Linked DNA regions of Arabidopsis thaliana. The protein of the gene in region 1 interacts with the protein of each later gene in a pairwise test. Each region holds a gene or a part of one and is shown on either strand. Other genes may lie near its edges.

What was found.
Region 2: the proteins of HHP1 (region 1) and ICE1 interact in a two-hybrid assay, tested with the Arabidopsis thaliana proteins (one study listed by BioGRID).

Annotation. Positions count from the first base shown.
Region 1 is NC_003076.8:6,840,134-6,844,869, reverse strand, and holds HHP1 (heptahelical transmembrane protein1), read left to right. Parts: upstream 1-1,923; 5' UTR 1,924-2,213; coding exon 2,214-2,515; intron 2,516-2,596; coding exon 2,597-2,672; intron 2,673-3,224; coding exon 3,225-3,845; 3' UTR 3,846-4,037; downstream 4,038-4,736. UniProt on the Arabidopsis thaliana protein: May act as a negative regulator of abscisic acid (ABA)-mediated osmotic stress signaling and function in cross-talk between cold and osmotic signaling.
Region 2 is NC_003074.8:9,832,148-9,837,393, forward strand, and holds ICE1 (basic helix-loop-helix (bHLH) DNA-binding superfamily protein), read right to left. Parts: upstream 3,126-5,246; 5' UTR 2,989-3,125; exon of another isoform or gene 2,742-2,988; 5' UTR 2,644-2,741; coding exon 1,639-2,643; coding exon of another isoform or gene 1,552-1,638; exon of another isoform or gene 1,457-1,551; coding exon 1,232-1,456; intron 1,140-1,231; coding exon 969-1,139; coding exon of another isoform or gene 939-968; exon of another isoform or gene 890-938; coding exon 806-889; 3' UTR 520-805; downstream 1-519.

The DNA.
Region 1 (4,736 bases):
AATACCTAACTCTTCATATGGTTGTCTCTTTGACACCTACCGGATTTTACTTCATTTATGCAAAGTATTGTAATAATAAAAAGAAAAAGAGGATATTCCCGGTATTTTAATTAACAGAACAACATTCATATAAATAAAACCATTCCTTTTGATTTTAATTAGGCCTAGGCGACAAAATATATAATTAAGGCTAAATAGATTGCAAACACATGGCAGTTATATCCAAAAGTAAAGATTACAAAAGATGTCGAGAAGATAAAGTCATTTTCTTCTTCAACCATATTTAACAAAATCTTAAGTTATGAATTAGTAATAAACTATTTTCCCAAGAAACTTAAACACACGTATATGGAGTTTGCGTATATGATTGCGATTCCTTGGGGGTGTTTCAGGAGTGACCTCTTTGGTTAATGTTTTCCCAAAAAGCCTAAGCCAACCCAAATCTTGAAAGACCAGAAAGCTACAACTATGGCCATTTTATCAGCTTTAATTTTAGATAACAAAACTGAATTTTGTAAGAGAAAAAATAAAGGTATGGCTATGGGACGCCGAGATGTTAATTACTATCTACATAATAACAACATATTTTTTTTTTTGAATTTAGTGTTAAATTATATTCAAAGAAAAATAAACTGTTTATATACAGAAATGCAAACTTTTCTTAAAAATAGATCAAAAGTATATCTTATTTATCTTTGATTTTGTTCTTGCCTAAAAGTAAACCACACTTGGATTCCTCTTGCGTACTTCTCTTCACATCTTACCCTCAACGTGCTTAATCCATTCCTTATGTTTTTGTCTATCAGCCTGATTATCTTCTTCGTCCTCGATGGCGTCTGTCCATATCTCCTCTCATTTCTTTCTCTCCATATAGAATGTATCGTGTTTTGAAACACATACCGAAGTACAAACCTTGTAGTGGCGTCAAGATCTTTACTCACTAACTCCTTCATAATAACAGCATAATAACATGTATTACATGAATGCATGTCACAAACGTTTATAATTCCCTTTTTTTTTGCCAACAAAACGTTTATAATTCCTTGTATGAAGATATTTTCGTCTAATTTTTAACATCCTTTTTTAGTTGATTTCCAAATAAATTATAAATTTGTTCTAAAGTTTAGTCATCTGCCTAATTAATTAACTTGAAGTTCTATATTGCTAGAGGCATTTAAAGGTCAAGTCCTTTTCAAGTGGTAACTCATTGAAAATGACACTAATGTTTTTTGCAACATTTCACAAGAAAAAAATAGAAATTTTCATGATTTTGGCTTTTGTGGTCTACTCTTTTAAAAAAAGGAATCCTTGAAATGTTTGCATGCTTGTTTTTAGTATCATTATTTTTGTTGTCATCCACTTGATGGAAAGAGCTTTGACACTTCTTTACCACAATCACTTCATAACTCATAACTACATTAAATTCTGTTGTTATCCTAACTTCTTCTGTTAAAAAAATTACTTAGAATTACACATAAGAACTCAAAAATGCAAATTTTCTAAAATTACTCGTCTATTTCAAGTAAAGTAAACCCCTCACCAATCTTAATTTCACACAGAATTTAATGTTGATTGAAGCATAGTAAAAGTCTAAATGAGTCCTTATTTTTTATTTTTACATCAAGAGTACTATTTTGTTTGCATCACATATCTTATATCTTTCTTATAAATACAAACGATCCGGTGGGTACAAGGCATCAATCATGTAAAAGAGGTACAAGCCGGTAGTGAATTTTGAGTCGGTCGGTCTTAAAATCGCCTAAATTTACTCTTCTCGTATTCAAAAGATTTTCCATATCTCAAAAAGTAGTGTAAAACTGAATCACTTTTCTTGTTAAAAAAAAATACAATAAAAACAAACGTAAGAGAAAGGGAAATGAAATAATAATAATCAAAAAAGAAGAATTTATTGATAACCTAACTAACAACTAAAAGATGAAAACACGACACCAACTTCTACCTGCATACTAAAGTTTCGTCTTTAAATGTTGCAGCTGTCTCCTTACATTTCACATCTTCCTTGTTTCTTCTCTCTCTCTCTCTCCCCTCAAACTTAAATTCACATTTTAATACTTGTTACTTCAACTATAATAATAATAATAATCTTTCTTCATTATATATTTTCCTCTCCTCTCAGATCTTCTCTCTCACCATCTTCTCTTGAGATCAAGATTGAGTATTCTTGTCTCAAGAATCGATACTCGAGAGCTCTTATGGACCAAAATGGTCATAACGACGAAGCAGAAACAGTTTCATGCGGCAACGGCAACTGCAAAAGCAAGATCGTGCCTGGAGATGATCACGGTGGAGATGAGAGTAGTGGTACCAAGAGAAGGAAGAAGAGAAAAACGCAACAAAAGACAATGAAACGACGTGAATTAATGTCGTATTGTGAGCTACCGGAGTACATGAAAGACAACGAATACATATTGAATTATTACAGAGCTGATTGGTCCATTAGAGATGCTTTCTTCAGCGTATTTAGTTTCCACAATGAGTCCCTCAATGTTTGGACGTAAGTACACCAAATTTTACTTCTAGTTTCAATTATTTTTTCTTCGATTTTTTTTTCTAATAGTTTTTTTTTTTTGGACAGACATTTGATTGGTTTTATCTTCTTTGTGGCACTAACCGTCGCCAATATTATTCATCACGACGGATTCTTCCCCGTGGTAAGTGTCCTTTAATCAACACGTTTATTTTTGTTTTTGTTTAATAATCGCAAGTTTAGCCCGAATTTCAATTTATTCCCTCGAGATCCACATGCAACCACTATATTAACTTCAAATTAGTCAAGTGAATGTGTCAAGTAATTAGATATATACCTAATTGGTTTTGATTAACTTATCTTAATTTTCTAATGAATTGTTCGTTGCTATACCTGGATTTTGTTATGATGATTTTGAATAAGATATCAAAGATATATAGACATGAATCGAAATGATGAATAAAATCTTTGACAATATTACATTGACTATAATTTGTTTTCTGTAGTATATTCTAAACAACTCAATAAAATGTAATTCTTTTAAGGATTATATATCAGCTCAAATCTATTATTTAATCACATATCTAAACAACTGAAGAAAATGTATTTCTTAACTAGATTAGAAATCAACTCAAATATGTTATTTGATCATATATCTAGTATATGTTTTTTTAGTATCTCAAACTAGTCAATAAAAATGTAAAGCTAATGGTGGTATCAATGTTGATGATTGTAGGATGCAAAGAGTCCAGGGAATGTAACAAGATGGCCCTTCTTCGTTTTCTTAGGAGGCTCAATGTTCTGCCTACTCGCAAGCAGCATTTGTCACCTCTTCTGTTGCCACTCAAAAGAGCTTAATGTCTTCCTTCTCCGAATAGACTATGCCGGTATCACCGCCATGATCATCACTTCCTTCTTCCCACCAATCTTCTACATCTTCCAGTGCACTCCTCGGTGGTACTTCATCTACCTCGCAGGCATCACATCCATGGGAATCTTCACAATCATCACACTTTTCACCCCATCACTTTCCGCTCCCAAGTACCGAGCTTTCCGCGCTTTGCTCTTTGCCTCCATGGGGCTGTTTGGGATTGTCCCAGCTGCCCACGCGCTAGTGGTCAATTGGGGAAACCCGCAAAGGAACGTGACGCTCGTGTACGAGTTGCTTATGGCAGTGTTCTATCTTGTTGGAACAGGATTCTACGTAGGGAGAGTGCCAGAAAGGCTTAAACCGGGATGGTTTGATCGTGTGGGACATAGTCATCAGATCTTCCATGTGTTCGTTTTGTTGGGTGCTTTGTCTCACTATGCAGCTGCTCTCTTGTTCTTGGACTGGCGTGACCACGTTGGTTGTTAAACCATATATTTGTAATTCTTTTAAATATAATATTATTAATTTGTTGTATCGTGGTGAACAAAATTGTAATAACCCATTTGTTTTAAATTGAATTGTAATTCAACTTGTGTTAATTGTTATGTTTGTTGAATATGCATGATTTTCAGAAGTCTTTTTCTCTATGAGAAGTTAATGGTAAATCAAATATTTGCCACTGAATAGTTTCGTTTTTGAATATGATGACTTCAATTGTTTGTTTGCTTTATATCATGAAAGCAAACAGAATTGAAAAGACATAAAAAAAAATTGATGTAAACACAAAAGCAAAAATTGACGGTTGAAACAACCAATGATTTGTTTTATAAAAAAAAAAAAAAACCAATGATGCAAAGGATGGACTTCATGCATGGTTGATGGTTCTTTCATCTATCTACATGCGCACTTAGCTTAGTGTCAGGATTCCCTAACCACAAGAGAATTAATATGTATATATGCACCATCAAATGTTCATCAAAGTCTCCGCTTCCTTTTTCATTCTTCATAGCCGAGTCCTCTTATTATTGCTTCAAAGTTTTTTTGTTCTTTTTGATTTGATATAAATATATGTGTTACTAGGTTATACAGGTGTTAATTAGATGCAAGACAAGGATTGATCAGACATAAACATAATTAAAGACCAAGCTTCACTCTGTAACTAGACTCTTGATCGATAATGCGTGAACGGACCCAAACTCTTTTCGAATTTCGGAAGCCAAATGTCTTGGTCTTGCCGTGAGACTTGGTGTATATTTTCATATATCTTTTTTTTTTTTTCCTTTTGATGTATGAAACTTTTTTTATGTGTGGTTAATGAGTAAAACAAAGAATCGAACACCATCACCATTAGTTTAAGGTTGATGTGTGAAACATAGC
Region 2 (5,246 bases), on another chromosome or scaffold:
ATCAAGAGGACATCACTAAAAACTAGAATCACGAGGACTTCATTACTACATGCATTATAATCATAGAAAAATTCAGAGAAGCTAAATTAAAACCCTATAAAAAAGGTTAGGTTTTTAAAAGATTCAAAGGACCTACCACTTTTACGTTTCTTCATCACATCCTCTACGTTCTCGTGACTCTCTCTTTCTATCTCTAACCGCCATTAACTATGTCTCCTCTCTATCTCTCTAAATCTTTCTTTTGTACGGATACATACAACGTATATAAAAGTTCTTAAAACATTAAGTAAGCATTTAAAGAAGAAAACAAACAAAATGGTAGGGTCTATTCTTTGCTCTGCCTCTTCCTTCACCATTCTTTTCTCTGTTTTTTCTTAAAAATCTCAATGTTTTTCTTCACTCTTACATCATCAAAGCTCATTTCATCAGCTAATACCAAAGCTATACCTTTAACATAACTGTTTTGTCTGTATATGTGCAAATGTTTTGTCTGTCTTCTTTGAGAAGTTCACTCATGAACAAAGATGAAGACTTTAAAAAAAATTCTTGAGCATAGCTTTAAGATGAAACATAAATGGAAGTTAACATTGCTAATAAAAGGTTGAAGTTATGTATCCAACAACAACAACCTCAAGTTCTCAAAAGCTTAATTTAAAAACAACTCTCATTTGCAATTGCATTACATGCTTAGATTGAAGTTATGACATAAGAAAAAAAGTTGAGAAGAAAATTGCAGATTTAAAGGGACTTAGTTCTTCTAGCTCTGCTTCAACAGATGCTTAATGGACTCGAAGTCAGGATCAGATCAGATCATACCAGCATACCCTGCTGTATCGAAAAGCACTGCTTTGATTTGATCAGGCAGTATCTCTTGTCCTTCTTGGCATTGCTGATAGACAAAAGAAAACATGTTACTACTAAAACTGTTCTACAAATCCTTAACCTTTCAACTGAGAGTAGAAGATCACCTCAGCGCGGAAAACATCCAAGGCAAACCCATTAAAACAGCTGATCACAGCTTGCTGAACATCCAATCCAAGATTATCCAAAGCTTTCATGGTAGCGAGCAACAGACCCGGTCTACGACCACAGAACATATGAATGTTCACTGCTCTTCCTTCCCTTAATCTAACCTCAACCTGTGAAAAAGAAGCAGAGTAATCTCTCAAACATGAATCTTTGTTTTCTTCTTTCCAGTCTAAGCAAAAGTTATACAGAATATAGTCCTTACTCTAGCTTGCTGGCCTTTAGGACTTGGTAAAGAAGAGGGACACAACTCTTCCTTGACACGACAAGAAAGAGTTTGCGGTGTAGGTGTCAACGGATGGAAGCTTGATGAAGTTGGAGGCAAAGATCCAGGAGGAGTTGACTCAAGTTCATTGTGAAGATCATTGATCCTTTGTAGAAGTTCCTTCAGATAATCAATTGCATCTCCAAGTATTGATGCTCTATCCATCTGCAAATTCATCGAAAATCCATAAAACACTATCACGAGCCTCTTCCTCAAAAGAGTAAAGCAACTACATGCAAAGTTTGACAACAACAAAGGCCCTACAAAGCTACAACACAACAATTCTCTATAACAGCAACAAGTAAACAAGCTCTTAAGGAGATAAAAGAGACAAAGTAAGTGTTTACTTTGCTGATCTTGGGGACAACTGATCTAAGCATATAAAGCCTATCATTAAGCTTCTTCCTCCTTCTCCTCTCAGCCATCAGATTCTTAGCAGGCATACCTTTCTTCTTACCCTTTCCTCCTCCTCCAATCTGAACACTCTCAGCCGCTTTACCGCTCTCATTTATCTCATCAGACTCATAGTTCAACCCAGAAACCTCAATCCCAGTCTCATCCATATCTCCATCATCACTAAACCTCCTCATTCCCGAACTCTCCGAATTTCCCATTTTGCTTCCAGAGCTCTGACGCATAGCTGCACGTTTCTGGAACAGAGTAGGCTGTGCACCAGACGATGCTAACACCTCTAAAGGCTTCAGAACTTTCGCTCTGTTCCCAACAAAACCACCATTAGCAGGACTACCAAAACCTTCCAACTCCAACGGAGCTGTGAAACCACCACACAACATTGTGTTGTTGTTGTTGCTTTCCGGCGCAAGAAGTGACCGAGCAGACAAGAAATCAGGAACAGAACTCAAATCCCTGTTCCCCAATTGTGTCAAAGAACCAAACCCCATCGAAATAGGAGCATGGATTTGGTTAAGAAAACCAGATTCAGAGCCAAACTCAAAAGCATTATCAAAAGGGTTTGCAGAAGAAGGAACATTGAGAAGACAACCCTTGTTGTTGTTAGTTGACAAGAACTGATTTTGCTGAGAAGGGTCAAGACTAAAAGCTTGAGAAGGAGAACAAGAAGAAGAAGAATCAATAGAGTGTTGAAGAAGAAGATTATCATTAGGGTTAAAAGGAAAACCACCAAAGTATCTGAAATCTGGCTGATTCTGTAACATCTGAAGATCTTGTGGATGTGGTTGGTTACTACTAAACCAATCACCTTCAAGCATAGGCTTAAACTGAGAAGAACCATCTTCTTGATTCCTTCCCCATGAACCTTCCTCGTTCTCTTCCCTTTCTCCACCACCACCGTTTAACCAAACCCCTCCACCATTGTTTCCGTCAAGACCCATCGCCAAAGTTGACACCTTTACCCCAAAGTCTGAACCTTTAGAGGAAAATTCTGCAAAGTTGAGACCTTTAACTGAAATTTGGAAGCTTGAAGACAATTCTGCAAAAGTTTGAAAACAAAAGATATATACTTTGAATATTCAGAGACTTGGAAAAGTAAAAAAAGAGAAGCATTAAAGTAGAATCACGAGGATTTCATGAATTGAAGAAGCGAAATCTGAAAAGGAAGATAGAGATAGAGAGAGAGAATGATAGATTCATTTCTCAGAGCTTTCAAAAATTGAAACTTTTTTTTTGATGGATTCAATTTCGGCCACCATGAAATTGCTTTATCATTGAACACATACCCCAGATTTCTCGTGACTCTCTTTGCTTTGCTTCGTTTACCGTATCTCTCTCTCTCTCACCGTCACTATTTCTCCATTTTTCTGCTTAATTTTGGCTTAAGCTTATCTCTCTGTCTCTGTTGTCACTGTCTCTGTCTTTATATAGACAGTGTTTAAGTAAGTTAATGATGATGATGATAATTTCAAAGTGTAATTAGCATCATTCATGCAACGCGTGTCTTCCATGCATTTCTTTAACTCATATTATTACCTAATTATTGTTATGTACTTAAAAGTTCTTTTTCAAAAGATGGTAATAAAATTTATTTTATATTCTTACTATTAAATATATTTCCTTTTATTTTTTGTATTTTTTTAAAAAATTATAAATAATTATGTTGTAACGCATATCTCGACTTTACCGGCGTCGACATCTTTTCGATGGTTCCTAAGCTTCTTGAACAAAGCCACATCAAGCTCAAGTTTGTAAGTAAATAGTTTAATTTCATAAGTCTTTTAAACATTAATTAAGTAAGGACGAGTAATTCCAAATTTTCTGATGATTGTAGCGTTTATCACCATTATCAACTAAATTGAGTTCCCAAAAAAATATAGTTGTGTTGCGATATGCTTTCTAGTCTTCTAGAGGAAGTAATTAGGGATTCATTTTCTAAAAAGTTTTGTTAGTTTCAATTGTGGCTTTGTGCCTTAAATTGGCTTTTTGCTTATATAGTTTTGGTTTATGCTTTATTATTAGAGAATTTGTTTTTCTACCGGCTAAGATTCCGGAGATTTAAACGTGTTCTCCGGCTATCTATCTTAGTTTCCTTCATTTAAAGGTTTTAATAAACATTGAATTTTTTTTTTTTTATGGGCTGTTTGTTGCAGTCCACCCATACTATATGGGTTCAATTAGGATCACTATGTAGTAGACCTCAGCCCAATTCATTATGTATTTTTTATCTTCTTTCTAATTTCATACAAACTATAAAATTCTACCTAAATAACCAATTTCCATTTATTTCTGTAGTTGTAATTTATAATCAATAATTCGCGTTTATTGTTTCGAAATTTGAGTAAATCTGAATTTAAGACTCGGTCAAACTTTTTAAGACTCGGCCAAGCTTTCAAAGTGTTTTTGACATGTTGTTGGGAAGGTTTTAAACTCGGATTTACTCTAATCGCGAAATAGTAAACATGAATTATTGATTTTAAATTGTAATTACATATAATAATTGAATTTGGTAAATTGGGTAGAATGTGGAATTAGATAGAACAAAAAGAGCAGAAGGTGAATTGGATAGAGGTCAAAAATATTGGTAATCCTAGTTAAACGCATATAATACATGTGGATTGGTACAAACAGCCATTTTTTATTTATGCATCAAGTACGGTAGTGCATTTTATCCGTTTCATGAATATTGATTTTGCAAATTTTCATTTCACACAGATTAAAAATTTATACTGCATTTTCTTTCTTTCTATCTACTTCTTTTTATTTACTGTAGCTATACATGATTTGATTTTCAATAATAAACACTTCCCAAGAATTATAATTCAATATTAGTTTTACTTTATTTTAAAGCTACTATAATACACATAGGAATCTTGAAGATTGATCTTTGATGAAATGGATGACGTATCTATTTCACCAGTTTCAATATATTGTTTCTTTGCAAATATATGAAAATAGTCTCTTTGTTTTCAATAAATCCAGCATGGCTTGAACAAAATAAACTTACTCATTAGAAATTTTTTAAAGATGAATATGAACAACTTAAAGCTTATTTTTAACTCCATCAAATTAAATGGTAATGGTTAGTGTGCAAGGAAAACTTATTTCCAAGTAGTCGATATATCCTTCATTTGGTAGCAATTTGGTGAATGTGCTGAATCAACTAGCAACTCAATGTTCTTCAAAATTTGGGGTAGAATCTTCGGAGTGCTCTTCAACTTCGATTTGAGAAATCATTATTATTTTTTGTTTCGATCCATTACAATCACCGCAATGTTAAGTTTATTAAAACTGAGATCACTAGGTAGAAAAGTAGAACCACTTAATTTGCTTTTCATATATAAGTTCAAATTTAAAGAAATTATTTTTTTGGTTTTCCCTAAGGTTTGGGGTTGAAAATTTTGAAAGAAAGTAATAGAGTTCGATATATGTATATTAATTTCTTTCCAGTTTTGATGTTTAAAGAAAAACTATGTAATTCGAAAAACAAAATCTACTTAACGATGTTATTGACGGTGGTCCGGTTGTCTTTAGTTCGACTAGC